Linked DNA regions of Lytechinus pictus. The protein of the gene in region 1 purifies or fractionates together with the protein of each later gene. This does not show direct contact. Links are inferred from orthologs where the notes say so. Each region holds a gene or a part of one and is shown in the gene's direction. Other genes may lie near its edges. The genes, in order: COP9 signalosome complex subunit 4-like, DNA damage-binding protein 2-like, denticleless protein homolog and DDB1- and CUL4-associated factor 1-like.

The links.
Region 2: the proteins of COP9 signalosome complex subunit 4-like (region 1) and DNA damage-binding protein 2-like purify together in Homo sapiens (affinity purification with mass spectrometry; 7 studies listed by BioGRID and IntAct, counting the BioPlex papers as one, with this or other methods). This does not show direct contact. The link is inferred for Lytechinus pictus from reciprocal best matches to the Homo sapiens genes COPS4 and DDB2.
Region 3: the proteins of COP9 signalosome complex subunit 4-like (region 1) and denticleless protein homolog purify together in Homo sapiens (affinity purification with mass spectrometry; 3 studies listed by BioGRID). This does not show direct contact. The link is inferred for Lytechinus pictus from reciprocal best matches to the Homo sapiens genes COPS4 and DTL.
Region 4: the proteins of COP9 signalosome complex subunit 4-like (region 1) and DDB1- and CUL4-associated factor 1-like purify together in Homo sapiens (affinity purification with mass spectrometry; 4 studies listed by BioGRID, with this or other methods). This does not show direct contact. The link is inferred for Lytechinus pictus from reciprocal best matches to the Homo sapiens genes COPS4 and DCAF1.

What each region holds. Positions count from the first base shown.
Region 1 is NC_087262.1:10,335,078-10,342,435, reverse strand, and holds the start of COP9 signalosome complex subunit 4-like, read left to right. Parts: upstream 1-4,039; 5' UTR 4,040-4,069; coding exon 4,070-4,143; intron 4,144-7,358. UniProt on the Homo sapiens protein: Component of the COP9 signalosome complex (CSN), a complex involved in various cellular and developmental processes.
Region 2 is NC_087258.1:23,627,946-23,635,777, reverse strand, and holds the start of DNA damage-binding protein 2-like, read left to right. Parts: upstream 1-4,757; 5' UTR 4,758-5,104; coding exon 5,105-5,278; intron 5,279-7,832. Other genes in the region: triosephosphate isomerase-like, read right to left, coding at 959-1,167, 2,507-2,624.
Region 3 is NC_087251.1:16,412,965-16,421,089, forward strand, and holds the start of denticleless protein homolog, read left to right. Parts: upstream 1-4,638; 5' UTR 4,639-4,895; coding exon 4,896-4,974; intron 4,975-8,125. UniProt on the Homo sapiens protein: Substrate-specific adapter of a DCX (DDB1-CUL4-X-box) E3 ubiquitin-protein ligase complex required for cell cycle control, DNA damage response and translesion DNA synthesis.
Region 4 is NC_087247.1:55,107,244-55,114,634, forward strand, and holds the start of DDB1- and CUL4-associated factor 1-like, read left to right. Parts: upstream 1-3,966; 5' UTR 3,967-4,028; intron 4,029-7,391. UniProt on the Homo sapiens protein: Acts both as a substrate recognition component of E3 ubiquitin-protein ligase complexes and as an atypical serine/threonine-protein kinase, playing key roles in various processes such as cell cycle, telomerase regulation and histone modification.

The sequences.
Region 1 (7,358 bases):
TGAGTAAGCTGATGTAATCCCAAATTATCTTCTAGTATTTCAAGCCCCCTACTCCACTTTCATATGATTTAAATAAAAAGAAACATTGATTTAAATCACTTCCATTGAAACATATTACAAATGATTGACAATAATAATAATAAGTAATATATAGGATTTGTATAGTGCACGTATCCACCTTGCTAGGTGCTCAAGGCGCTCCTATATTTCTTCACTTTCACTATGATTTTTTTTAAATCATTGATTTAAAGGACAAGTCCACCCCAACAAAATATTGATTTGAATAAAAAGACAAAAATCCAACAAACATAACACTAAAAATTTCATCAAAATCGGATGTAAAATAAGAAAGTTATGACATTTTAAAATTTTGCTTAATTTCATAAAACAGTTATATGCACATCCTGATTGGTATGCAAATGAGGAGACTGATGACATCATCCACCCACTATTTCTTTTGTATTTTATTGAATGAAATATGAAATATTCTAATTTTCTCCTGATTGTCAAGTGAAATAACGATTTATTCCCCCCTGAACATGTGGAATAAGCATTGTTCAATACTAAAAATATCATCAAAATCAGATGTAAAATAAGAAAGTTATGACATTGTAAAATTTTCAATTTTCAATACTATATGGTTCAGTCAAGTCGGTCCTTATTGTCAAATCTGTTAACAATGAAATATTATATTATTCAAACAATAAAAAACAAAAGAAATAGTGAGTGAGGGACATCATTGACTGTCTCATTTGCATGTCACCGAGTTGGGCATATCAATGTTTTGTGAAAAATAAAAGAAACTTTAAAATGTCATAACTTTCTTATTTTACATCCAATTTTGATGAAATTTTCAGTGTTATGCTAGTTTGATTTTTCTCTATTTATTCAAATCAACATTTTTCTGGGGTGGACTTGACCTTTAAATCACTTCCATTGAAACATGTACAAATGATTGACAATATTTTTATTTGTGGCAGTTTTACTTTTTTTTTACTAAAAATAGAAAGATTTTATCAACTTTATAATCATCAAAACATTCTTCTTCATAAGCGGTTTAAAGCCCCCTACTCCACTTTCACTATGATTTTAAAAAAAAAATCATTGATTTAAATCACTTCCATTCAAACATGTACAAATGATTGACAATATTTTTATTTGTGGCAGTTTTATTTTTTTCTCCTCAAAATAGAAAGATTTTATCAACTATATATCATCAAAACATTCTCCTTCATAAGCGGTTTAAAGCCCCCTGCTCCACTTTCACTATGATTTTTTAAAAAAATCGTTGATTTAAATCACTTCCATTAAAACATGTACAAATGATTGACAATTTTTTTATTTGTGGCAGTTTTACTTTTTTTTACTCAAAATAGAAATTTTTTATCAACAATATATCATCAAAACATGAATAAATCCTTTATCGCAGTTACCACTTAGCCCCCTACTCCACTTTCACTATGATTTTTTTGTTAAATCATTGATTTAAATCACTTCCATTGAAACATGTACAAGTACAATGTACAACTCCTGGTTTATTGTACTAAAAGAAATAATTCAAATAAACCTGCAACTTTTCCCAATAAGACACAGCTTTGCAAATCAATGATTTAAACAATAACAAAGCTCCAACCATGGCTCAAATACCAAAGGAGGTTTAAATTTGTTTTTTAAATGGAGTTTTTTTTATTAAACACATGATTTTCAGTCCTTAGTTTGAAAATCAAGAATGTTTCTCTTTCAAGAATATGAGTCTCTGAGTCATGGAATTCTTCCAAAGAAACTGATCCTCATTTCATATTTGAATAGGAACACTAACTTATTAGCTGTACCAAGGCAGTTCCTCAACTTGACCAAACCAGTCAGTAGGAGCTAAATACCCGACACGAGAGGATGCGGAAACAGCATCTTCGTCATGACTTTATACAGACCTGCATACATGTATTCTTTATAAATTACATTTTGGCTGGATTTAATTATGAAATAGAAAAGTTAATAATAATTTTAGTTGTGAAATGTATGATTTTTAAAAAGATTTCAGTGTAAGGGTTATATTTTTGGTATTTCCACTTTGTTTTAGAAAATAGTCAAAAAAAAAAAAATCTGATTTGAATAAAAAAAAATTGATTTAAATCAAATAAATCCTATCAATTTATTTTTTTTTTATAAAAAAAATCGCCAACCCTGACAAAATAGATCTAATGACAAACGTTACATGTACATATGATTTTTATTTGATTCAATGGACAATGATGTTTTGGTCCAATTAAATTTAGATCTATGCTTAACTTAATATAAGTGTCCAATATTTGGGTACTTAGTTTTACTCTAAATTATCTAAATTTCTAATTCATTTTTTTTCATAGGAAACTCATACCAAAAAATCTAGGAATTCATACATGCATACGTACTGTAGACCAAAACTTTGGTCTCTGTTATGTTGGTTGTTCCGCTGAACTCTGTAGGCTCCACTCACCAATTACAGAGACCAAAGTTCTAACTCGATCTGTACAGGGACTCAATGGCCATATGTTTATGTATTAAGTTTGGAAAAACCAGGGAAGCTCGAAGTGGCAGTTGCGCGACAGCCGAAGCTTGCGAAGTAGACTATCAAAGTCACTGTTTTTTTCCTTTTGAGTAAGTTTTTTCCCCGTTTTGGTGCATTTCAGGCCAAAACGGAATACTAATCTTTATTTTGGTCCATGAGCCCGTCAGGGGTTTTTGCATTGTTATTTATGTTAACCCCCTAATAATGGCGGCTGCACAATCGCTACCGTCTATTAATCATGGTGACGTGTGTAGAATTAAAACAAAATTTAAAATGTTTAAAAAAGTACTTCTCGAAACAGACGGCTACCAGCTGTCTAACTAGACTAAAACTTAAAAAAAAAGCTTCGGTCTCTGTTACATTTACATGTATGTTGGTTGGTTGGCTCCACTCACCAAATACAGAGACCGAAGTTCTAGCTCGATCTGTACAGAGGACTCGATGGCCATACACTTTATGTTTATGTCTTAAGTTCGGATAAAACAGGGATGTGAAGTTGCGTGACAGCCAAAGTAAGTCACTGTTTTTTTATTTTTCCCCAGTTTTAAGTTTATTTTTCCCCGTTTAGGTGCACTTCAGGCCAAAACGGAATACTAATCTTTATTTAGGTCCAGTTCTTTTTGTATATTTTTAAGAAATAAAGACAAAAATCCATGAGCCCTATCGGGAGGAGTTTGCATTGTTATTTATGTTTACCCTCTAAAGGCTCTATGGCGGCTGCACAATCACGAGCCGTCTTGTGACGTGTGTACGAGGAGAATTAAACAAAATTTAAAATGTTAAAAAAAACTTCTCGAAACAGACGGTTGCCAGCTGTCTAACAACATACATGAAGCATTGTCCTCCATGGTAGACTACAGCATGGAGAGTCTGTGTCCAACAATACACTGGCCAGGCCATGTTTAACCCATGCAGAGGCCGTCAACTACCAGGCAAGACACACTCACTGCCCCGACAAGCACGGCCAAAATTGTCCTCGCGATCGAGTGGGGTCACGGCTTCGATCACAGCGAAGCTCTCCACCCAAGCACCTTTTACGTGGCGAATTGATTTAGTGATGCAGCAATTTTATATCACAGGGCCGTAATAAAACTGCAAATAAACTGATTCATAATAGACCAATCGCTTTGGAACTTTAAAGTACATTTAACCATTTCCATACATGTAATATCAATGAGCTGATGATAAAAAATATCTTACGGTTAATGAGAAAATCCTACTTTAATCGAGGACATCGTTACCATCCATTTGTTCAAAATCACGCGCCGATCAATGGTCTTCTCTCCATTCGGCCTATTGTAATTGTACACTTCGTATTTCGCATACGTTTTTACCACACAACCTCGCATAATAAATAAATATTAAAAAGTGTTATCTAAGAATAAAGTTAGGCACAAATTTGATATAAATAAAATATTTTGCTTTAAAAATGTATTTTATTATTGGCAGAAAACTTTTCTTTATAAGTGTAATTTATCATCACATTATTACATTCTCACAAATTGATCAGTCTCGCTCAACATGGCAGCTTCCATGAAACAACAATTATCGACTCTCTTGAGCGCTGGTGGGGCTCCAAAAGACCTAACAGAAAAGTAAATATCATTTAAGAGTATTCAAAATAGTTTTCAATGTTTGATTTGTCTTCTTTAATAGGAAATTGTTATTTTATGAGTATAATTGATCCCTCCTTTCATCATAGAAGATCGTGGGATTAACATTTTTGTTGTATGCATATACTGTAGTGTAGTCCCACGCATTATATCTTTTGTCAGTATGAGGATACCCATTGCCCATTGGCTCCTCGATCCTCTCATTCACACTTGTTCACTGCAGCCAGGGTGACCAGATTTCACAAAATGAAATACGGGAAAATTGACAAAAAAGATCAACAAAGAAGGCTACACAGTATTCGACTTGTGAAAAAATATAATTAAAGAATTGGAAGGGTGGGTGAACGAAGAATGAAGAAGAGAAAGAAAAGACGAAAGAAAAGAGATAAATTGAGAATAAAGAAAGAAAAAATGAAGGGAAACAAATATAAAAGAATGAAAGAAAGTTAGAATTAAAGAATAATACTTTTAATAGAGAGAAAAAAGGTTTCCGTCATTCTTTGAATTGAATATAGAAAGAAAAGAAAGGAAGGGAAGATGAATAAATGTGTGAAAGACAAAATAAAGGAGAGAGAGAAGAAAAGAATGAAGGAAATAATAATGTTTCCTTTGAAAGAAAGAAACAAAGAAAGAAGAAAAACAGGAAGGGAGGAAGGAGGGTAGGAAGGGAAATAAAGAATAAGGGAAAGAATTAGAAGGAAAGATAAAACAAACAAAGAAAGAAAGAAAGGGAGGAGAGAATGGAAAAAAGAAAATAATGGAAGGAGAGAAAGAACGGAAAGAAAAAGGAGAGGAAAGGAGAAGGAAGCAAATAAAGAAAAGTTTAAGGAAAGAAAGAATGAAGGAAATAAAAATGGAAATTGAATAAAGAAGGAAAGAAAAATGAACAGAGAGAGAGAAAGGATCAGGAAAGAAAGATCGGAAATAAAGATAGATCGAACAAAAAAGGGCAAGCAGGATGGATAGAAGGATGAAAGAAGGATAGAAAAGAAAGAGGAAAAAAGTTCAAACTTCAAGCAAACAAAAACAATCCAATCTATCGAAAATCATAATGATATTTGGTGTTTTTTTTTAAACTTAAATGTTTTAGAAATGAATAAAATTTCAAAGTGAAATATTGTCAACTTAAAATTAGATGAAACGTGGCATCATACATAACAAGACTCAAAACGAAAGCTGAAACACCTAGATCTAGCTATGAAAACTCAATAACTTGTTCCTCCGATTACATCTCCAAATCAGTAATCTGAGAATCCATAATGTAATTATACAAGTTCCCCACCGATTTTGTGTCGTTGTTTGCTCCATTGAGAATCTGCTGCGATCCTACTTGCCTAGCTAGTAGCCTGCCACACACAGGCAGGAGGCCAGTTCGTTTTCAATGTATATGGTTAGCAAGAAAATCACTGCAGAACTTTAAAGTTTAGTTATTGATTTGATTGTTGTCTCTGCTTCGTCATCTGTTGGTTATTTTATGAAAATTCGTCACTTTTAAATGTATTAACTACATTTTGTTCAATATTCTGAAATACGGGACAAATAGGCGTCCCAGGAAGGGTTTGTCAGGACGCCGGGACAAAGCAAATTACGGGATGATCCTGGGAAATATGGGACGTCTGGTCACCCTGACTGCAGCCCCTGCCTGTGGGGAATCTTCATGTAGATCTATGGTATGCCAATGCAGTACACAGCACACACTTTAAAATTTCATTAAAAATATCACTTTTGACTTTGGTCACCCAAAATACTAATTTCCATAGTAACAATACAAATTACAGTTGCAATTTATTTTTCATGATAAAGTAAAATAAAGGGACTAAAGACATTACTCATTGGACTAACTTGGAAATCATTTTTTCATTCACCAGAGCTCTCAAAACCTTGAATTTGGGGCATATTTTGTGTACACCCTCTATTGGTGCATGGTGGAAAGTAAAATTGCAAGAAAATTGTTCTATGCTAGTTTGATTTTTCTCTACTTATTCAAATCAACATTTTTCTGGGGTGGACTTGATCTTTAAGAGCCAAGTTATTGATTTTGATGAATAGTTGTATGGAAACTGACAGTGTCAAAAAATCTAAACATTTTTCCCCAAGAACATGAGAAAATAAGCCAAACATTTGCCAACCTTACTTCACCACACAGGAAATAGTTATAGAGAACAAGGTTCTATCATAACCTTGTTCATTGAATGAGTGCTCATTGTTGAATTTTCTACCGTCAAATTAGTGATTTTGAGACAGAATTTGAGATTATTGTTAGTACGGGAAGCTAAACAACATCAGCTGGGTATCAGCAGAGTAAGGTGACAATGACATGGCTGGGCTCGAGTCATGACAATATGAAATCATTTATTTCAAATGTCATGTATTCCTTGATAAGCTTGATATCTGTTTATAATTCAGGGTGAGGGTCACGATCGTCCCAATTAATTCAGGGTTCAAACCGGGGGGGGGGGGGGGGGGGGTGCACTCAGTATATAATGCGTTGTGGGTATGTGCTGCGGAGGGGACCCCCATTTTTACACTCAAATTTCCGTTCCAAGGCATAGCATTTTTATCTTATTGAGAAAAAGATCAAAGAAAGCCGCTCCAAAGCATAGCATTTTCTTCTTATCGAGAGAAAAGAAGAAAGAAATCCGCTCCAAAGCTTAGCATATTTTTCGTTACGGTGTTCTGGCTGCATTGATCCGCTACAATGTGCTGCAATTTTGGTGAAAAGCGGCCGCAGAGCGCTGTCCGTCCATCGCCTCTGCGCGAGCGCACCCGGCGTCCGTGCTGCCGGGCTAGCTGCATGCACGTATGCCCATTCCATAGGGATGCATTCGCACTCACATGCTGGCGACCCGTTCCAAGGACCCCGTTTTCACAAACATTTATAGTTCCGAAGCCTGTTCCGAGGACCCTCCTTTTTACAATAAGCCCGCTCTAAAGGTTTTTGTCTCGCCCGCGGCACATACCTACCACTTTTTTAGTCGAGTACCCCCCAGGGTTCAAAGGGTTAAGCACGGGTGTGGAGGGGGGGCAAGCCAGAAGTTTATTAAGAAACAGAAATATTGGGGGGGGGGAATCTACTGGAAATGATGAGTACTGCCCCTTTGACATGTCCGTTTACAACTTCCAGACATGGAGCCCTATGAACCTATTGATGGCTAATTTTGCTCACCCATTTTTTTTACGCCCTGCTTGAAAACTTG
Region 2 (7,832 bases), on another chromosome or scaffold:
ACCCAACTGGATGTTCTTAAGAATTGCGAATTCAAAAGAATTTGGCATTTTTAGACCTCGCAAGATCACTACAATGAGTTTAAACCTCTATTACTCAGTCAAAATACATGAAAACGTAATCAAATTTCGCAAGAGAGTTCATAATTGTATCGTTAGAATGCAGAATCTATTTATAGTGCTATTTGTTTACCATATTAAGTCTAACAGCACTGTCAGTTCTTAAAAATGGCGTAAAAGATAACAAAAACCCAATCTAAAAAATGTGAAATTTCAATAACAAACTACAAAAGGACAATAAATGCTGCACTTTATTCAAAATCCATGTCATTTTCACAAAAATTTGCAAAGTTGTAGAGGAAGGTATACCTAAGAGGTGCAAACATTAAAAAATAGGGGTTCATGTGCTTGTTTTCAACTTATCAGCATTTTCATTAGAGCAAATGTGCTTTTTAAAACACCGAAAATGCGCCAAATGCTTTGTATCTATGAGAAGAAAAAATCAAAACCACTCTACCATATATTCAAACTCGGGGTCATATTCACGATTCTTGGCAGCATTGCAGAGTAAAGTATTTTGAACTTGTAGAGATATTTTTTTAATGGTCCATGGAATAATACCAGTTTTTTAGCTTCATAAGATAACGCATCGGATCTGCAGTTAGAGTGCAGATGATGAAAAAAATCAGCTCATACCCACAGGTAATTAATCACCTGTTCATCCATTGTGACGTCAGCGCGCAGAGTGTAAAATATGCGCAGATCGTAATGCGCACAAACATAACTGTGGAACGTCCTTAAATCCCCCTGTACGTTATACACAATGCCTGTGAACTCACCTTGAGTCACAGAAAATCTGACTCATAGCTGGAATTCGAACTTTGCACTTCCTGATAGAACAGACTGACTGATAAAACATCAGGCTAATCCTTTCATGGAACACTCCCTTGCACCGACTTACCTCATCTGTCTCTCCGAAGACATGCCTTCTCTCCGAGTGTCCCAAGATCACCCACGCTACCCCTAGATCCTGCAGCATAGCCGGAGACGTCTCCGCAGTGAAGGCTCCCTTGGGTACCTTGTAGCAGTTCTGTGCAGCGACACTCACTCCTGTTGGGATCTTGGCATTCATGTACGAGAGGTAGACGGTAGGCGGGGCAACGACAACATCTGTGGGAACGAACAAGGACTAGAATGTAATTTGTGCAACCAATTTATGCAGTACACAGCACACACTTTAAAAAATCATTAATAAAATAACACTTTTGTGACCAAAAATACTAATTTCCATACAATTTATTTTTCATTACTGACTTGGGGATCATTTTTGTATTCACCAGAGCTCTCAAACACTTGAATTTTGGGCATATTTTTGTGTACGCCCACTATTGGTGGAAAGTAATGTGGCAAAAAAATTGTCTTTCAATCTCTATTTTTAATTTAGAAAAAATAAAAGAATCAAATTTAAGTAAGAGCCAAGTTATATTATGATTAGCTAGTGATAGAAACTGACAGTGTAAAAAAAAACAGAGAACAGGGTTATATCATAACCTTGTTCATTGAATGAGTGGTTCTATGGTCATAATAAAAATATTGTTAACGAAAACAAGGTTTATTTTACGTTGATCGCGTCATAAATTTCTGGCTTGATTAAAGCAGTGCGCATGCGCGATCGATGACGATAAATTCCATTCATGAATTCATCGTGCATAAATTATCTCAGCACGAACAGACGAGTAAGACTTGAACTAGGAACAAAATAAACTTCAAATTAATGGCGAATAGGCATTGATAATTACACAATAGGTTTCATTTTTTTAGACATTACTGTTTATTTCAATGATTGTGTGTACCAAACGAAATTGCCGCATTTCTTTCCTTCACACTGTAATTTTTTTTTTTTTTTATCAACGCACCGATTTTACAAAATCTGCACTGGCGCTCGATGACATTGATTGAACACCGATTTTAAAATCGATTCCGACTCAGGCTTAATTACGTAAAATTTGCAAAACTAAAAATAACATGCAAGGCAGTGGCTGATCCAGGGGGGGGCACATCCGACCCATGCCACCCTCCCCTTTTGAGTCGGTCAATATTTTCAATGTAATATGTCATTCATACACAAGTGTGTTTGAGAGTTTCAATAAATATTTGTGATGGGAATATGTCGTTCACACCTGACTTTTTTCTTCAAATTTTACATCCCGTAGCAAAAAATCAATTCCCCCTTCATTAATAGTGTTAACAATTTTTTTTTTTTTTGGCTTATCAAATTTTCCTTGGGAAAATGTGCCCCCATTTTTGGAAATACTGGATCTGCCCCCGATGCAAGGGATGGTAGTTCACCATCAATGTAATCTAAAAAAAGTGTCAACCAAAGGAAATTTGAACCCGAGGAATATTCATGCAAGGAAAGAGACACTCATTTAATGTCTAAACAAGCCGACTAAATTTTTGAGTACAAACAGGGAACTTTGTTCTCTGTTTGTACTCCATGTACTTGTACTTGTATATTTCCTTCCTCCGGTCTTCGGAGATCGGCGGCAAGCCGCAAAGTTCAGGTCCTTTCTTGATGGTGCTGTCGACATAGGTGGATTTTTAAGATGTATCTTAGGCAGTGACATGTCAGAGAGGAAGCAGAGGAGGAGGGCAGAGAGTGTGAGGGAAAGAGGATGGAGGATGCAAGGATGAGGGGGTCATTTCCAATGAAATCATTTAGGATGTGTGCAGGCAAGTCAAGGTTCTCAACATGCTGTAGTAGGTCCAGACGCTGAGTCAAGAGGACTGGACATGAGGCAAGAAAGTGGGTAGTGGTTTCTTCCTCTAGAGAGCAAAGCTTGCAGGTTGGGTCTGTGCTCTTCCCGATGGTGACTAAGCTTCGTTGTGAGGGATAAGTGGACGTAAGCAGCTGAGCGCGTAAAATCACAGCTGATCGAAGATGGGTCGGTAGTGAAGAAGGGTAAAGTGACAATATCTTGGGGAGCATTGAGAGGTTACTCCATAGGCTGAGGGATGAGAATTTCTCAATGCACACTCTGGCTTCTTCCATTTGGCATCATACACTTTACTCCTGCACAGAGTTTTCCAACGGTGGTATGAGAAATCTTCAGATAGGAGAGAGGTGAGTGAGGGAAGGTTGTACTTAGAGAGCAGTTTATTCCAATAGATGATAGTAGGAGTCTTGATGGAGAGGGCATGGAGGAATGAGCAAAATTCAAATCTAATATGGTCAATGTTGAAGAGCTGTCCTATCAGAAGGAAAGTGTTTAGTTCAATCTCGCGGGAGAGGTGAAGTAGGTCAGTTAACAGGAAGATAGAGATATTGGGGGCAGATCTCGGTAGACCCAAGAGTTTCTTGAAAAGGGAGTGTTTGAGTGAGGTTTGAGTGAAACACAGGAGCTGTGAGCCATAGGTCATTCGGGGTAGGCAGAAAGTTTTCCAGAGCTTCGCAAGGGTGTGGGGGAGGAAGAGGTTATTGCTGCTGTTGCTACCGATGATGGCAAAGAGGGTGTTGTATCCCTTGGTGATTATGTGTTGAGTGTGGTCATACGCGATGGTTGATTTGGTGATGCCAAGGTGGGGATGATGAGAGACCTCTCTGATTCTGTCACCGTCAATGAAGAATTGGAAGGATGGGTGGATGCTGCGCTTTGACTTGAAGATGAGGATGGCACTTTTTGAGGGATTGATAGAGTTTTCCCAATGAGTGGCATATTCATCTGTGACATTCAGCATTTGCTGAAGTTCAGTGGGAGAACTTGCAAGAAGGGCAACATCATCAGCAAGGATAATTACACCTGCGTATCTATTCTGGAAGGTGCAGCCAAGCCCCTTGTCCCGGAGAGTCTTGACGAGGCCATCAACGAATACGTTGTACAGCGTGGGAGAGAGTATTCCTCCTTGTCTGACACCCTTGTTTAGTGGGATGAAGGAACTGACAGAACCTTTCCAGGTGACACGGCTTGAAGCACCTTGGTAGAGGGCATTCAAAGTAGAGGATGTGTGCCCATGTGTGCCAAAATAAGGTTGGCAATGTTCTCTTTTCTCTGGAATAATTGCTTGATTGTGTGACACTGTCAGAGTCCATTACAGCTAATCATATTATTATTATAACTTGGCTCTTAAGTAAATTTGATTCTTTTAATTATTTCTTCTAAAATAAAAAGAGATTGAAAAATGAAAAAAGTAAAACATTTTGCATGATAATTGACAAACATGACAAATTGTCTTGATTCTTCTGAAAAATTAAAGCAAACTTTTTTCTATTTCACAAATAGGGGCCTAAATATTGAAAGAAAATGCAACTTCGTTTTGGTGACCAATTCCAAAAAGCATGAAATATACAAGTTACAACCCCCCCCCGACCGACAACATTAATTATCATTACATGGGCATTTTTTACACCATGTTCAGCATTGTCAGTGTCACTGCCAGAGTGCCAGTGCCAGACAGTCAGTGACAGTGGCAATGGCCGTGCCCGCGGCCGCTCAGCGCAGCTCGACAATATATTACCGGTGTTTCCAGGAATCTGTGCTTCTTCCAATATTTTCAAATTTCCATCGATCGACGCCTTGTTTCCATTCATCTTGTGGTTTCCACCAACAAAGAAACGCCTTCCACTTGCCATTTTGTCTTTTGAGATGAAATACAGTCGTACAGGTGAGTAAAAGAGGTGGGTATTCGAAGAGGAACTGCAATCAAGTTCTGTCCTGCATGCACTGTACACCTTGACCTGGATGGAACTCCCAGGTCAGTCTGATTTACTTCCGGTTTTCTTGCACGTACCCATTTGCCGAGTTTGTAAAGACGATAAAAACTTTTAACAATATTTAACACTTTAACTGTAAATGAAATAAACAAATTATTACTTTTTAATATATAAATATTTAATTTATCATAGTGCATCAAAACATTATTGCATATAAAAATTCATTGGAGACAGTTCCACTTCTCGATATGGACCATATCGCGGGAAAAATGTTACGCAAGTCCTATTTTGTAAACATCAAACAGCTGACATGAGCTTATGAAATATAAGCACGTGGACGTACTTCAAATGTACTGCCACCGCACTGAGATGTGTCAGAGGCGAAGCTAGATTTTGATGAAATTTGTGATCCCTGAATCGCTTAAAATGGCACCGTCTATGTCAAGGAAAAAGAAAGATGGATCTAAGGGATGCATTGTGACAACTGTCGGAGATGTCGCGAAACTCCCGAAAGAAAAAGTTTCCAAAACTCGATCCAGATCCAGCAGCAGAGCCAGAAGCAGAACTGTGGTGAGTGGATCGCGGCGCGCGGTGTCGCTCCAGGGAGCCGGGATCGGGAGGGAGAAACAATACGACAACCATGGCATGACTAGCCAGGAGGCTTCTAGAGAGTAAAAATAATTTACTAACGTATGCTTACTCTCAACGAAGCCTGGAATAACATCTTAGGGGATGTTACAGTAAAATATTTGGAATCAGTTGCAAAATTCAGGAGCTAATTTACATTGAATGATGATTGAAGGGATATATCAATTTTGACAAAGTCAAATCAATTTATACTTGTTGTTTGTTGATACAATTACAAAAAGAAGACGTGTACGGTCAATCAATGACAAATATTTGGGCTTAACTGCAGAATACCCCGACACTGCTCACTACCCAATCGTTGGTCAGCCAACACAACGATGTCAAGACCTATAGCTATATACTAATTCAATGGTATATAGCCTAGATATATCCCACTCATGGGATCAATGCATCTCGCGTGCGAAGGATTCATATGCACATGGTGCACGCGAATTTTTCACACCCTTTTTACTAAAATAACTATGCCATTTCTTTTAAAATAATGTTTCTAATTGTGCTATGACACTTACCGAACCATATGGATCGTTTCTTGTCTTCTCTTTGGTGTGTTTTTAAGAAAAAAAAAGCATTTTCTCGTGATCTTCACGTAGATACCGCAGGGTCATTGTGGTTGTAAACTTTTGCTTAAAGAGGGCGCGCGATATTATTCACAAGATGTTTGTTTACGGTTCTGCAGGTTGTACTGCTAGCTGCATTTTAGACGCTCAGCATTATTTTCCTCTTTCTGTTTTTTTTTTTTGCTGTCAAGCGGTATTTTCTATTATTTGTAGCGCCATCAGCGATGATGAAATGTAAAGTCAAGAGTCGCCTTGAAATGAAGAAAAATTATGTCCCATTAATTCGTTAGTTTGTTTCCTATTTTTTTGCACTTTTTTCTTCTTCCTCATCTATGATCAAAGGTGAATACCTTTTTTTGATATCTGTTCTAAAAGCTGGACATTTTAAATATTTTGTTCAAGTAAATAAATCAACAGGATAGTAATCAAAATGCGATAGAGCTGCCCGAGCTGAAAATTCTGATACAAGGACTTGAAAATAAAACATTCTGAGCACTTTTTATAACCATGATGAGGAGACCTATATATATTTTATGGCCTCCTTTTCCCTCTCTCTCCTCTACTTTTCCCCCTCCCCTGATCTGTCTTTTATTGTCTCTCCTTTCCTTTCCCGCCCCCTCCATTCCCTTTCTCCCTTTTTCCTTTCCCTTCTTTTCTTTCCTTTCTCCCTCCCCTACTCTTTTCTCGCTATTTCCATTTTTCTTTCTCTCTCCCTTCCCCTCTTCCTTTCCTTTGTTTTCTTTCTATTTTATGGTCTCCTTTTCCCTCTCTCTCCTCTACCTTTCCCCCTCCCCTTTTCCTTTCCCTTTCCCTCTCCTTTTTTGTGCAAACATTAACACGAATATCTTGCTTCCTACACACACACACAAACGCCCGCAATCTAACACACGTAATGCGAAACAATCGGGACATTATCATTTTGTTCATATATATATATATGTATATTTTCTCAATGAACATTTTCATCTATTTAAAGCTTTGAAAATTATTAAACAATGATTCCATAGGCGAAATCTCAATGATCATTAGGAAGGTACTTTACCCATTTTCATTTTATGTCATTGTGATTATTCCATACTAAGGCAACATATTTTGGATATAAAAATACGTGAAGGATATGTTCCTCTTCTGTTTTATACTTTAACAGAAAACATTTTGTTCAACCAAATTATGATTTGTATTTCCAAGTTCCATGTAATATTTTCATTGGAAAATCTCTTAAAGGTCAAGTGCACCCCAGAAAAAATTGTTTGAATAAATAGAGAACTATGTTGATTTTTGGTACAATTTCCTATTATGCGCCGACGACTTGAATCGAGAATGTTCGATAGGAAAATTTCGCATTTCGATTGTTGTTTGCGTAATTTCCACTGCAGTACGAAGGATGACTAAGGACGGACCGAGCGAAGTATCCTGGTTGAGATTTGGAGGTAAGCGATAAAAACACTTTAATAAATAATTTATAATTCCTTTTTCAAATAAACATAAAAAATACGATCAAGATTAACATAGTGGACAAATATTGAAAGGTTTGGCGTAGTTTAGTCCCTCACATTCGTGTGATGAATGAAAACGTCAAAATGCACTATGAAATCACATGTGTTGTGCGAGGTTAGTATACTAACCTCGCATGTTGTGTGAGTGAGATATATCCATACTATTATATACGTACATGCATTACTGGTACTACTACTACTACTATACTACGTACGTACGTACGTATGACGGTACGTACGAGCAATGCATCCAGGCCATACGTAATGACCTTTGCCCTTTGACTACTACTAGAGCTATAATTAAACATCGTTGGGTGCGCTGCTAGCCAACGACCCACGTTGTGACGGTACGGACGGTGCAATATAATATTCAAAACATCGTTGGCTAACCAACGACCCACGATGTGAAACTGTTATATTATA
Region 3 (8,125 bases), on another chromosome or scaffold:
TGCGCGAGTAATACATTTACGCGCTCAGCATAGGATGTTTAGCAAGATAAGAAAAAGATAAGAACAAAAGATAAGAAAAAGATAAGAACGTTTTCAGAATACCAATTTCAGATCGTGACGTAGATAAGAACAAAATTAAGATAAGAACGTTTTCAGAATACCGCCCCAGGGCTTTTTCTGGTAGAAAGCGTTCCATTATAAATTTTTAACATATTTTTTTAATTTAAAAAGGACACAAAAAAGAGCAAAATCGCTTACCTCCGCCTGGAAAGTGGCTTCGCACGTCTCTTCCACGGAAATAAAAGGAAGGTCGTTGGTGGCGCTAATACAGTTCGCAACCTTAATTCGGCTTGGTGGTATTTTTAAAACTAGATTCATTATTCATTGTATGCGCAATTCCAATAATTGTTTGATAAAATAGAGACCCCAATAAATGCAATAACTTAAAAAACATACTTTTTTATTATTTTTGCTGACGATAATACTTTTTGGAAAATATTCAAAACGATGACAAATTAAACAAAAAATATAGAAAATTCTATGTACCTTGAACAAAGCCCAGCAAGTGCTACCGTTCGTTTGTCAATTAACGTTCCACCAAAGTCTTTACAGTAAAAAGATTGAACACTTTGCCGACTTCGCGTAACGCTTTGCATCGATTTACGTGTAAGATAATTTCTGTGTCTAGTCTTTCAATTGTAGTGTCTTTGATATGAAGATAAATCGCGCGCCCTCTTTCGCTCATTAGACGAAAAATTTGAGAGCTAGAAAGGTAGCTCTCGTATTTTGTCAACGAGAAGAAAAATCAACGCTTAAATGACGCATTTTGTGTTTGAGGGATATTCATCAAATTATGAGGAATTGACTTCACATCGTTTCGTAAGTTTTGTAGGAGGACTTCATTCTGTAAGTCCTCGTATTAATTTTTCGCAAATTAACGTTATTTGTTGAATGCACCGTGCCTTCAATTATTCTGTAGTCGGCGGCTGAGATGTAGCTGTGTGTGCCTATGGGGATGGGCCAAAATGCTGTATGCAAATCCAGACACATTTTATGGAGCATTTAAGCCTTATGGAACAACTGCAGAATACCCGGACACTGCGTTACCTTATCGTTGGAGAGCCAACGCACAACGATGTACTTAAGCTATCAAATCAGAAAATCAGCTATAATAAATAATTGAATGATTTACAACTTACAAGTATTTTTTGAATAGATTCTAAGTGTTCAGACTGCACTGTAACGCTAACGATGCGAGCGCGCGCGATTAGTATGTAGACCAACAGTGTCCGCGATGCCAACGATGTGTATATTTTCGTAGTACGTGTAGGCCAACACAGTCCGCGATGCTAGCGGTGCGTTGGTGTCCGTAGTACAGGCCAACACTGCCCGCGATGCCAACGATCTATATATATATCTGTGTGCATCTGTAGTATGTAGGCCGACATTGCCCGCGATGCCAACGATGTGTATATTTTCGTAGTACGTGTAGGCCAACACAGTCCGCGATGGTAGCGGTGTGTTGGTGTCTGTAGTCGGTACAGGCCAACACTGCCCTCGATGCCAACGATCTATATCTGTGTTCTGTAGTATGTAGACCAACAGTGTCCGCGATGCCAACGATGTGTATATTTCCGTAGTATGTGTAGACCAACATTGCCCGCGATGCCAACGATGTGTTGGTGTCTGTAGTACAGGCCAACATTGCCCTCGATGCCAACGATGCGATCATATCTGTAGTTGCCTATGTAAACCAACATTGCCCGCCATGGCAACGATGTGTTGGTGTCTGTAGTACATGCCAACAGTGCCCGCGATGCCAACGATGCGATCATATCTGTAGTTTCCTATGTAGACCAACATTGCCCGCGATGCCAACGATGTGTTGGTGTCTGTACTGTAGAGTACAGGCCAACATTGCCCTCGATGCCAACGATGTGAATGTATCTTTAGTAGGTATAGGCCAACAGCGCCCGCGATGCCAACGATGTGTTGGTGCCTGTAGTAGATGCAAACAGTGCCAACGATGCCAACAATGTAAATGTATCTTTAGTACGTATAGGCCAACAGCGCCGGCCAGGATGCCAACGATGTGTTGGTGTCTGTAGTATAGGCCAACCTTGCCCGCGATGCCAACGATGTGAATGTATCTTTTGTATGTATAGGCCAACAGCGCCCGCGATGCCAACGATGTGTTGGTGCCTGTAGTAGATGCCAACAGTGCCAACGATGCCAACAATGTAAATGTATCTTTAGTACGTATAGGCCAACAGCGCCGGCCAGGATGCCAACGATGTGTTGGTGTCTGTAGTACAGGCCAACCTTGCCATCGATGCCAACGATGTGAATGTATCTTTAGTAAGTATAGGCCAACTTTGCCGGCGATGCCAACGATGTGAACGTATGTTTAGTATGTATATACCAACAGCGCCCGCGATGCCAACGATGTGTTGGTGCCTGTAGTAGATGCCAACAGTGCCAACGATGTGAATGTATCTTACATAGGCCAACATTGCCGGCGATGCCAACGATGTGAATATGCCTGTAGTAGAGGCCAACATTGCCGGCGATGCCAACGATGTGAATATGCCTGTAGTAGAGGCCAACATTGCCGGCGATGCCAACGATGTGAATGTATCTTTAGTAAGTATAGGCCAACTTTGCCGGCGATGCCAACGATGTGAATGTATGTTTAGTATGTATATACCAACAGCGCCCGCGATGCCAACGATGTGTTGGTGCCTGTAGTAGATGCCAACAGTGCCAACGATGTGAATGTATCTTACATAGGCCAACATTGCCGGCGATGCCAACGATGTGAATATGCCTGTTGTAGAGGCCAACATTGCCGGCGATGCCAACGATGTGAATATAACCCTAACCCTAACCCTAACCCTAACCCTAACCCTAACCCTAAACCCTAACCCTAACCCTAAACCCTAACCCTAACCCTAACCCTAACCCTAACCCTAACCCTAACCCTAAACCCTAACCCTAACCCTAACCCTAACCCTAACCCTAACCCTAACCCTAATTGAATTCAATTCCCATTGAATTCAATTCCCATTGAATTCCTTCAATGGGAATTAAAACTTTATTTCATATTTTAATGAAGAAAAAATGAAAATATTTCATGTATAAAAAATACAAAAGAAATAGAGAGTGAATGACATCGATCACCTCACTAACCAGGATATGCATATATTAAACTGTTTTGTGAAACCATACTTTGAAACGCTTGCCAACGATGTTTTGAATGTTGCATTGCACGGTCACATCGTTGGTCGTTGGCTAGCGGCGCACCCAACGATGTATAGCAATAGCTAGTAGTAGTAGGTAATTTAAAAGAGTGTATTAATCTTGTACTATTGCACCTTCACATCGTGGGTCGTTGGTTAGCCAACGATGTTTTAAATGTTACATGGCACCGTCACATCGTTGGTCGTTGGCTAGCGGCGCACCCAAGGATGTATATAGCTCTAGTAGGTAATTTAAAAGAGTGTATTAATCTTATTTTATAATATAACAGTTTCACATCGTGGGTCGTTGGTTAGCCAACGATGTTTTGAATATTATATTGCACCGTCCGTACCGTCACAACGTGGGTCGTTGGCTAGCAGCGCACCCAACGATGTTTAATTATAGCTCTAGTAGTAGTCAAAGGGCAAAGGTCATTACGTATGGCCTGGATGCATTGCTCGTACGTACCGTCATACGTACGTACGTACGTAGTATAGTAGTAGTAGTAGTACCAGTAATGCATGTACGTATATAATAGTATGGATATATCTAGGCTATATACCATTGAATTAGTATATAGCTATAGGTCTTGACATCGTTGTGTTGGCTGACCAACGATTGGGTAGTGAGCAGTGTCGGGGTATTCTGCAGTTAAGCCAGCCTTATTTTTCACTATTTACTTAGGAAATTTTATGGTAAGTTTTGAGCAATGTTTTTTTTTTTTTCGTTGTCCTACCTACTGAAATGTATGATGATAAACAAATACTAAATAGAATTCGTTAGCTGGCATTTAAATCAATTTGTAATTGTAATTTGTATACGATTTCATGATATTATTACATCATTTCATAAATTGTCTACTTAAAGTTAAACGGATGAATAAAATATGTTTGCAGGTAATTCATTTAAAATGCGTTTCACATGGCGCATCATAATAAATGTGCGACACGAAAGACGGTTCTTGCAAAGACCCTTACGTGCAATCGGCCCCAGGCCATGGCATATCCACGCCGCTACTCCCGGGCAGCGCGAAGCTAGACTCTTGGACTGGAGAAAGACGGGAGAGCTGAGGCAGCAGTTGTGCTGGACGTGCCTGTGCAGCTGCACAGCCTGCAGCAGGTCGCGGCGGGGGTCGCGGTCGGCAACTAGCGCAAATAGTGCTGCAATTTTGCTCATGCTCACCTTTATCAAGCTCAAGAAGAGCTGAATTTGCATCATGTTCTTGTTCTCCATATCCGACATCAGTACCGAAGTTTGACAAACGAGAAGTTGCACTTGACATGGTATTTCAAGTCTTGAGATATTGTTTGGCGTGTGTAAAATTCTTTTAGAATTTTTAGATTGGCGAATCTACATGTACTTCCGGGTTCAAATCTTTAAGCTCTAGCTAGGCGTTTTGATGTAAAATCGTGCAACAATGTGCATCGCGTATGCTGCTTCGTCCGTGATAGATCTAAAAAGCGTCTGGGTTTTGAAACTATCTTTCGGGAGGCGCGCCAAATTCGATGCATTGCAGATACAACGTAAACAAGTGTGGAAATGAAGTTTTTGTGAAACGAAACTGAAATTCTAAGCTTAGACGCCAACCATTAATTTAGATTTTACTTAAATCTACCAGAAAATCTCCAGCCAGCTGATTTTATCATTTTTTCACAATGTCATCCAGGAATTTGATTACTGCTTATCACCAAGATCGCCGACGCTGGGCTTGGAAATCACAAACAAAGAATATTGGTGAGTTCAACTTTACTTTACTCATTTAGTTTAATGAGAATTTTGAGATAGTATTAGTAATGACGTTCCACACTACCACAGTCAGTTATTGAGTTAACATGAAATTCATGTCATTTTCACAAAATTTTGCGTAGGCCTAGAGTTAATTTTGCACCTTAATACTCCAAATTATGCAAAAATTGACATGGGTTAATGAAATCATGTGCTTGAATTTTCGCTATCGAGCTTTCAAGTTAATCTTTTTGAAAGGTCTTCTTGAGTTGAGAAATGTACGTCATAATTTTTAGACCCCACGCCCACAGGCTAACGTCGAGTTTATTATACCTCTATTACTTTGAAATCCATCAAAATTTTACCAAAATTTACATTATACTTATAGGCCTAGTTTAGAATTATATAGGGGTCCTACTTCTTCTTCCATTAGACTTAGATTACATCCATTGATGTCAATGACCTAGACAGCTGGCAGCCGTCTGTTTCGAGAAGTTATTCAACATTTTTTTATTTTTTAAATTTCTCGTACACAGACGGCTCGCTATCATGTATAACCCAGGGAGCCCAGGGGCTTACCGTGTATTTGACCATACTAACGGGACTAGCGTGATTTATGGTCTAAATATTTCTCCAAATGAATTGTGAAAACAGAAATTATGCACTTACCAAGATTATATGGATGAAGGTATAACGAGTGGCATTTTCCTGACATCGAGGCACAGACTGGAACCTCAAAAAACGAAAAGTTCTCTCCTACCACAGTCTCGATCGGCCATTTTTGTTATGAATCTTAACAAAATGGCCGATCGAGACTGGGGTAGAAGGAGAGAACAGTCCAGTTGGTGTGTTATCTGCCAATTTGAAAAAAGCCTTCCGTGCTAAGCTTAGACAAGCAAGAGCTGCTTGCAGGAATGGTCTTCTGTCAAGAATTGAGGGAGCCGACGAACACAACGACAGACTGTTCTATACACTAGTGAAAGAACGAGGCCCTGGCTCTGATGTGCACCAACTCAACCCTGGAGGTCTCACCTACTCTGGGCCCGATATCATCCAGGGGTGGACTCGGCATTTCCAGGATCTTGCCACCCCATCTGACTTCAGTTCTACACAGGCTCTGAATCCAACACATCCTGAGAATATGGACTCCCTTGCTATACATCATCCACAAGGGCTTGACCATCTCTTCACTTCAAAGGAGCTGTCCTTGGCCATCTCTTCATTAAGGCCTGACAAAGCTAGTGGTCCAGACAACATCTCTCCTGAGCACCTAATGTACACTGGGTGCACCACTAGGATCCTTATCCTCATCATGATGAACTGGATGATATATCTGAAGCACATTCCTCTCAGCCTTAAAGATGGCCTTGTCATTCCTCTCTTCAAAGGTGGGAGCAAGAATCCAACAGACCCAGGAAATTATAGGGGTATCACTCTGAATCCAGTCTTAGGAAAGCTGTTTGAGTTGTTGGTAAAGCCCAAACTTTCCCAACACTTACAAGAACACCAAATTCCAGACCCGTTGCAATTTGGTTTCCAACGAGAGAGGTCCTGTACTCTTACAGGTAAAGCACTTGACCTTCTCATCGAATCGTACAAGTCCCTCAACTAACCTCTGTACATAGCTATGTTGGATGCCCAGAAAGCATTCGACAGGGTCTGGCAAGATGGTCTCCTTTCGAAGATAGCAGCGACTCATCCACCTACAGTGCTGCTGGATACCATTACTGAATTTTACAACAGTTGCTCAAGCAAGGTATTCTGGAAGCATGAAGTTGGTCCCTCCTTTCCTGTTCTCCAAGGAGTAAGGCAGGGGGAGTGCTTTCCCCCATGCTGTACACTCTCTACATCAACGACCTTATTAAGCGTCTGAGGGAGTGTCATCTTGCTGCTCAGTCGGCAACCTATATGTTGGGGTCATAGCCTTCGCGGATGACATTGCACTTCTTAGCAATGAGCCCATGGAACTGCAACAGATGTTGAATGTCACATTTAATTACACCCAGGAGTGGAATTACAAGATCGACCCCTCCAAGAGTGCAATCATTGTGCTTAATCAAGATCTTCAGAACAGTGGCAACTCTTGGCAGATCAATGGTGAACCGATTGCACAGGTCTCCTCACACAAGCACCTTGGCATCGTCAGGACTGACATCTTCAGTATGACTACGCTGCTGATGCGATCACAAAGGGATACAGATCATTTTATGCCCTTGTGGGAACCTCACCACTAGGAGCAAGGGTAGTTCCCCATGTCGCTGCAAAACTGTGGAAAACTTTTTGTGTTACCAGGATGATCTTTGGCTGCTCTAGCATTCCCTTTTCAAGGGCAATGTTGAATCGCCTAGATAAAGCACAGGTTCACCTATTTAAGCGGATTCTGGGTCTACCAACAACATCAGCCGACGAAGCAGTATATCTTCTCACTGACATACATGTAATCCCAATGAGCCTGTTGGTCACCCAGGAAAAGCTCCTACTCCTGGGACAGACCTTGAGCACTGACATGGACAGGATAGAACGAAGGATGCTTCTTCATGGTATCTGTGCCAACACCAAATCCGTACAAGAATGGCGTGCTGCACTTAAACAAAATTCAGCCTTCCCCACTTGATGAACTTGTAAGGAATCCCCCTAGCTACCATCTATGGAAGCGAATGGTTCAGTCGGTAGTGATTCAGGTATCCGGGGCCAGACAGCATAACGCCCTTACCAACAAGACATCCTTGTCCTTCTGGACTAGAACCCCTAAGCCAAAGGCGAAGGATCTGTACCCTGGGCACATTGCCAATCCAAATCTGAGTCAGCCATCACCATCCGTGCTCAGATCTCTTGCCAAGTCTATCTGACCCAAGCCAGGCTCGCCAAGATCGGCAAAGCACCTGATGATTGCTGTCGTCTGTGCATGTCAGCCTGCGAGGATGTGGAACATCTGGTTGCTACCTGTCCAGCCCTAGCACCTGTCCGACAGGACCTTATCCAGCGGGTTAAGGCTAATCCCAACACCAAGCAGTTTGGACCGTGCTTTGAATCTACCCCTGCTCTTTTTGTAGAGTCGGTCCTTTTTTTTACCTCCTGGGCGTATCAGTAGCAACACAAAAGCCCAATTACATACACTTGTTCTACACTTCTTACGCAACCTCCATACAACTCGTCAGAA
Region 4 (7,391 bases), on another chromosome or scaffold:
CTGGTGTACTGTTATGGTCTGGTATGTCGACTTAGTTCATGGCCGTGCAGCGATCCCCTGGCGTTTTTTCTTCTTTTCTTTTGTCTTTGACTCCACTTTTATATCCTCTGGATCATTTCCACTCATAGCTCAGTTCCACAGAACAATCTTGAACCAAACGTATTATTCTTTCTCGGCCTTCTGAGTTGTTTTCTATATTTAATTACGCTAGGGGTCACCGTCACACATACAAACGCAATTCGCAAGTGAGTTGAAGACAGAGGGATATTATAGTAATTAGTATACGTACATATCTATGGTTGAAGAAAACAAGAAAGGTATGCGGTACGGTAGCTAGCTCGACAGCTAGCTGCGCCGGAGCGGGCGGCCGGTTAGTCCAGATTGGACCTTGTTGTTTGGAAGTGCTTTTTCCCAAAGCTAACATAGAGGGCACATGTCTCCCAATCTCTAATCAGCGCCAATCCACTCATCTTCCCTCCCCAACAAATTTGGAATAATAGTACGGCCACAAATATTTTAATCATTTCCTCTTTGCAAGTTCTATGGCTCGCAGATACAACTTCAACTGCAGTTATTCCATATGAAGGCGTACGTGCATAGTACACAAAGCGGCACTGCCTTGTTTACTACACCGGGACCGAATACCCCCCGGTGACGTCACAGTCAAAGAACACCCGTCTCGGTAGGCATTGCAGGAGCGAACTCAGGGAAAATGGGTAGGGATAAATCGTTCAAATTCACTATTTTGAAAAAAGAAAATGGGGGGTCGAATCACCTCTTAGTGTTTGGGGGGTTGTAAGGTTGCTATTAATGTAAATATCTCAATATTTGGAATCGTCTTCTTAATTCAACTTTAAGAACGACTGGTGAACATTTCATGATGAATATCATTTACCACAAGAAAGATTTTTATAACACAACAACATCTCTTTCATCAAGTGTATGCAGCGTAATGCTAATATTATTTACTAGATTTACCATTGAAATTTGCAAAAGGCCTTGTTTTGTCGCTACGCTCACTCGCATACAAGTAATGGGAATATCCATATTAAGGGGTATGGCACTGGCGTAAGTCTGTGACGTCATGCTATTCAAGTGGGGGGGGGGGGGGGGTGAACAATAGATCACCCCCTTCCCCTGAACAATTTAATTATAGGTTCACCTCACGGATTTACGCCAGTGGATATGGCATGCAGGTAACTCATCTACGGCTGTGCAATGGTAGGTGGGGGAAAAGGCTCGGTCGCAATGCTCCCTCGCACGAATACAAAATTGTACTCTGCATTACACATACAGGTTTAAAGTGCCAATTTATACAATGAGTGACCAATATCTAGCATATGCTTGGGCGCAAAACGCTTCCTCTCATCATGGACATATGAAGAGATGGACATTCATCGCTTAGATAATGAATTCACTAACAGGTGACTGTAAATGTCATCTGAATAACATTCTCTTCATACTATAGCAACCATTGTTTTCATTGTGCAATTTTTGCCACTTTCCTAAAGAACGAGATAGGATACGGTCATACTTAACTATCACAATAGTCTGTAATTACAGGTATGTCTTCTTCATTTATATCATTATTATTTTAATTGAATTAATTATTTATTATTCATTAATTTATTTATCTGTTCATTCATTAATGTGTCATTATGGAATATATTCAACTTGGTGATAATTCATTGATGTGCAAAACAAACTTGGATGTTGTATCTCCTTATATTTTTCAGACGCTTCTGATGAAGTCTCAATTAAAAGACGAAAGCTAAAGCAAATAATGGTGTCCTGCGTCATCTGTTGAGTTGGCCTCGCCTCATCTCATTATGTTTAATATTCACAACTCAACAGCGATTGGTAGAAGTAAACTTATCATCACACACACTATATATATATATATATGCCTATGTGTGAGTGTGTGGGTGAGTCTGTTTGTTTTGTGTGATCGAGCGCCTTTGGAACGTTGGTTCATGATTTTGCCCCCCCCCCCAATCTGAAAAATTGATCGACGCCCCTGTCCCCACTTGTTCTTTTGTATTTTATTATATGAAATTAGGTTTATTCAAAAATTTTCTACCACGAACTAGAACAATTGGATTGACAACTGATTAAAGTGTTTAGTTATGTACTGCCGCAACTTATTTCATCATAATGGAGACACATCATTTACACATGCACGAAAAAATGAAACATTTATGATATCATGTAATAACATAAGAAAAAGGAAAGTGGGGATGTGACATCATTAGCCCACCTAATGAATATTCATGACGATGTGCATATAACTGTTTTCACAAAATATTGATAAACTTTAAAATTCAATAACTTTGTTATTTGTTATCCCGCCGATTTTGATGAAATTTTCACCACTTCGCTTTGTGAATTTTACTCTATTTTTAAATATAAATATTTCAGCCCGGACCATCCCTTTAAGAGATGGCAAAATGGAACGGGAATTTATGGAGGGCCTAGGGGGGGGGGGCAAAAGAAACGGGATATTGGGTAGAATGGATTGAGTGAAAATGCTGACATAAAATCTGAATCGAAAAAAAAAAAAAAAAAATTAAGAACACGACCGGGTTGCCGAGGATGAAAAATAAAGAACGGGAAGAAAGAATCAGATGGCGTATTATGTGCAAAAAATAGCTTGATATTTTCATGCAATAACGGTCGCAATTAATCAGGACAAAAAATTACTGAACTTTGAGAGGTTCCGGAGGTACCGCCCGAGCATTGCCGATGTCCCTAGCCGAGGGATAGACACGCACTTCCAATTAAATAATTAGATTTTTATTTCATAAGGCCATAAATATCCTTACTCGCTTCGCTCGCTCAGGATATTTTTTAATTTTTCCCACATTATACCCAATAATGTACCCCCTCAAAAGGTTTGGTTTATAATGCCACTACGATGAAGTAATGTGGTTTGCAAAACAAATCCCTGATCCGATTGAAAGTGGCCATCTTTCACGATTAAAATGGCTGAATTTGGTAAGGTTTTTGGGGCTCCGTGCATCCGCCCGGCAAGCCCCACCCACATAGCACTGATGTACAAATTAATAAAAGGCTTTAGGGGCTTGTGGCCTAATTGTGGCCCCAAAAGATTCTACGACCAAGAACAAAAAAGAAAAGAAGGAATTAAGGACCGGAAAAGTGGAAGATGTAATGTTTTCATTGGTATATCATGTCAAAATACTTAATTAAGATTGCAACGAAAAGGAACTTTTAAGAAACTTGCCACATGCCCCTTGCTGTGCCCCCTCATTTGTCGCTTTACACTCTTGCATAGAGCTAGCTTCGCACCAACGACCACAACAAAATCCTGTTCACCAGTGGCATATACAGATGGGGGGGGGGGGGGGGGGGCGCCCCAAAAAAGTAATGACAGCAAAAGAAAAAGGGAAGCTCAGAAAGAAAAGGAAAGAATGAAGGTGAAATATGATATCATATATTCTGAATAACGTAATTACTGTCAAAATCTATCACAAATTGAAATTTGATTTTTGATAAACATAACATTTTACCCACTCGCTCTTCGCTCTCTCTCAATTAAAAAAAATATGCGATACATCTAGCCCCTTCAAATTTTTTGGCTCATTTACGCCTTTGATTATGACTGGGAAAATATTTGCTCTTCAAGACGATTTACTTTTCATTTTTTCCCCTTGCAGATTAGTGCTCTTTGGGGGCTCTTAATTTGTTGTGTTGTTTTTTCAACAAAGTAGATTGAAGATTGAGAAACTTGCTTGACTCACCATCCCGGTAAACCCACTTTTTATTGTGTTTGCGCCCCAGGGTTTGTGCCGTGCGTTTTAGGGGTTTTGGTTATAGCAGTTGACAGATTGATCAATCAATTTCGACAGTATACACCGGCCGTATAAGCTTCGATTTCGATATTTCAACAATACGCAACTAACTGCAAGTTTAAGTCCAACATCACTATTACACGTGCGCGTTACCGTATGTGAGACTAGTACTTCGACCTGGCTGAAACTTTACCGAAAAAACATAATATTCTGGATTCGGTATTGTATAATTTCTTTCATTTTCGATAGGTTTTCATTCTATGAGAAATATAGTTAGTAATTATTGATATGTATTGTTGTATTTTTTGCGTGTTTTTCAAGTTATTTCATGGGACTTGCAGCTTGGGAGTGATGCGGATGGTACGGTGTGATCCCAGCTATTTGTATCCGTGTTGTGTTATTTTTGCTTGGTGTGCAACTGCAAAGTGCAAGCTCAAGACTAACCCAGGGGGCTCCCGCCCGCGAAATTATTTTTCCCACCGAGTTCTGGACCGACATATGAATATTCATGACTTGCGTCTTCGGATTGAGAGTACGCATGCGCGTGGACTTGGCCTCGACCAGTGCCGATCGTAAGCATTCACGTTGCTCAGAATGAGTTGGCATCGTCAAATTACTCTTATAGGCTTAGATCTATATATATATATATATATATATATATATCCAATTCTTAAACACTTAATAAACTAGCTGCCATTAATGGCAAGACATATGTGCTAGGGTAGGGCTAGCTTAGGCTAGCGCATTAACTTTACCTCAAATCTGGACCTGTCTAATGCCTAATAGTAATACTAATAGGAATAGCCGACTAATGCCATGGTTAACTTCGAACTTGTTAATTCCGAACTTTACGTTTGATTAGGTTTGGATCAATATTAGCTTATTTGCCATGGTTTAATATGTCTAGTCCGTATACAGAACCAGTCCTAGATCTAAAATAAATATCTTAGTTCTAGTCTAGTCTCTAGATCTAGACTCTGATCTACGCGCTATCAGCATGGAACCACTAGTGTACCAAAGGGGGGGGGGGGCAGACTGCCCCCCTGACGAGTCACAACTGATCCAGGGGACATGCCCCCCCCCCATTGAGAAGCCAAATTAATAATTTGTAATGTCAAAATGCAACGAAAAAAGACGTATGTCCCCTCTTTTGAACGTGAAAATCTTTTTTTTTTCTTGTCAAATTTTTTTCAGCTACGAAATCCTTAATTTTGGGTGAAGACGGGGATCAAGATCACTGACGTTAATTTGTGCCTGACGTTAGAATACGTTCCATGCACGCACTGGTGTACCTAGGATTTTCCAAAAGGGGGGCAATTTTTTTAGAGGGTATTTCGTCCGCGAAAAAATGTGACAAGCCCCCCCCCAAAAAAAAAAAGGGTATTCACCCCAAATTATGGATTTCTTAGCTGAAAAAAAAATTGACAAGCAAAAAAAAAAAAAAAAAGATCTTCACGTTAAAAAAAGGGGACATACGTCTTTTTCATTGCATTTTTACATTACAATTTATTAATATGGCTTCTCAAAGGGGGCACGTCCCCTGAATCAGTTGTGACTCGTCAGAGGGACAGTCTTCCCCCCACCCTTGGTACACTACTGGTTCCATGCTGATACAGCGTAGATCAGAGTCTAGATATAGAGACTAGACTAGAACTATATAAGATATTTTTTTTTTAGATCTAGGACTGGTTTTGTATACGGACTAGACATATTAAACCATGGCAAATAAGCTAATATTTGTCTAAACCTAATTAAACGTGAAGTTCGGAATTAACCAGTTCGAAGTTAACCATGGCATTAGTCGGCTATTCCTATTAGTATTAGGCATTAGACAGGTCCAGATTTGAGGTAAAGTTAATGCGCTAGCCTAAGCTAGCCCTACCCTAGCACATGTCTTGCCATTAATGGCAGCTAGTTTATTAAGTGTTTAAGAATTGGATATATATATATATATATATATAGATCTAAGCCTATAAGAGTAATTTGACGATGCTAATTCATTCTGAGCAACGTGAATGCTTACGATCGGCACTGGTCGAGGCCAAGTCCACGCGCATGCGTACTCTCAATCCGAAGACGCAAGTCATGAATATTCATATGTCGGTCCAGAACTCGGTGGGAAAAATAATTTCGCCTCCCGCCCGCTGCGCGGGCGGGAGCCCAGGAGCTTACCGTGTATTTGACCTTAGTCACCGGACTAGGGTGATTTATGGTCTAAATATTTCTCCAAATGAATTGTGAAAACAGAAAGTATACAATAACCACGATTATATGGATGAAGGTCTAACGAGTGGCAGTTTCCTGACATCTGGGCACAAACTGGAACCTCAAAAAACCGAAAAGTTCTCTCCTTCTAGTTCTACCCCCGTCTCGATCAGCCATTTTTGTTAAAAATCGTAACAAAATGGCCGATCGAGACTGGGGTAGAGGAGAGAACTTTTTTTTTTTTTTGAGGTTCCAGATCCAGTCTGTGCCCAGATGTCAGGAAACTGCCACTCGTTAGACCTTCATCCATATAATCGTGGTAATTGTATACTTTCTGTTTTCACAATTCATTTGGAGAAATATTTAGACCATAATTAAATCACCCTAGTCCGGTGACTATGGTCAAATACACGGTAAGCTCCTGGGCTCCCGCCCGCTGCGCGGGCGGGAGCTTCCTGGGTTAGCTCAAGACAAGTTCACCACTCACTGACACAATAGAGTAAAGTACCCAAATATTGGACACTTAAGCATAATTTGACCAAAACAAAAATACAGTCATTGAATCAAATAAAAATCATATGTATTTCTGTGGTAAAAATGTTGAATATTAATTTCATATTATAGATCATAGAACATTTTCCTAGTGTTACTGTTAGCAGTCTCTAGGCACCATGCCTATCAATTCCTGTGTTAAAAAAGTGAGTGCACGCGAATCAAAAGTTGGACTTAAATTACTAGATATTACCATGGAGCTCCATGACGAAATCTATTTTTAAATTAGACCCTCGATACTACTTATGGAAAATAATGTATAAATAAATAAAATAGTACTCGCCTGGTCTATTCTTGGGGTACTGAAGCCTTTTTGTCCAGAACTTGCTCAACTTTTGCGACTAACCTTGTCGCCATAGGGTTGTGTACATCCTCGTGTAATACTAGTTGTCACGTGACACAGCAATGTCGTTAGGCTGTTTGGCCTGTATTCAAGGCGTTCTTTTCGTTATGATTTTATATTGAAGCAAATTACATCAGGTATAGGCCCCTATCAAGTCAAAATCGAAAGCAGGGATCGAGAGGGGGGGGGGGGTGGAGCCAAAAATTTCCCAGTCACATGGTATGAAAATGATATCTTTTATGATTGTCCACGATCATTAGGGCAAACCCCTGTGTGGCAGTATAGCGTGATGAGCGTGATGAGTAAAAGAAAGAAAGAGGGCCAATGTAGGCCTACATGGCGCGTGGGAATAAAGTTGCTTTATATGTTCCAAGCGATTGAAGCAAGCGAGAAAAAACCTTTTCGTGCAAATCTAAATTTGAGATAGATATCTAACCTTACACTTTTCCTTTTCTTTTCATTAATTCCCTTCATTTCTTTTT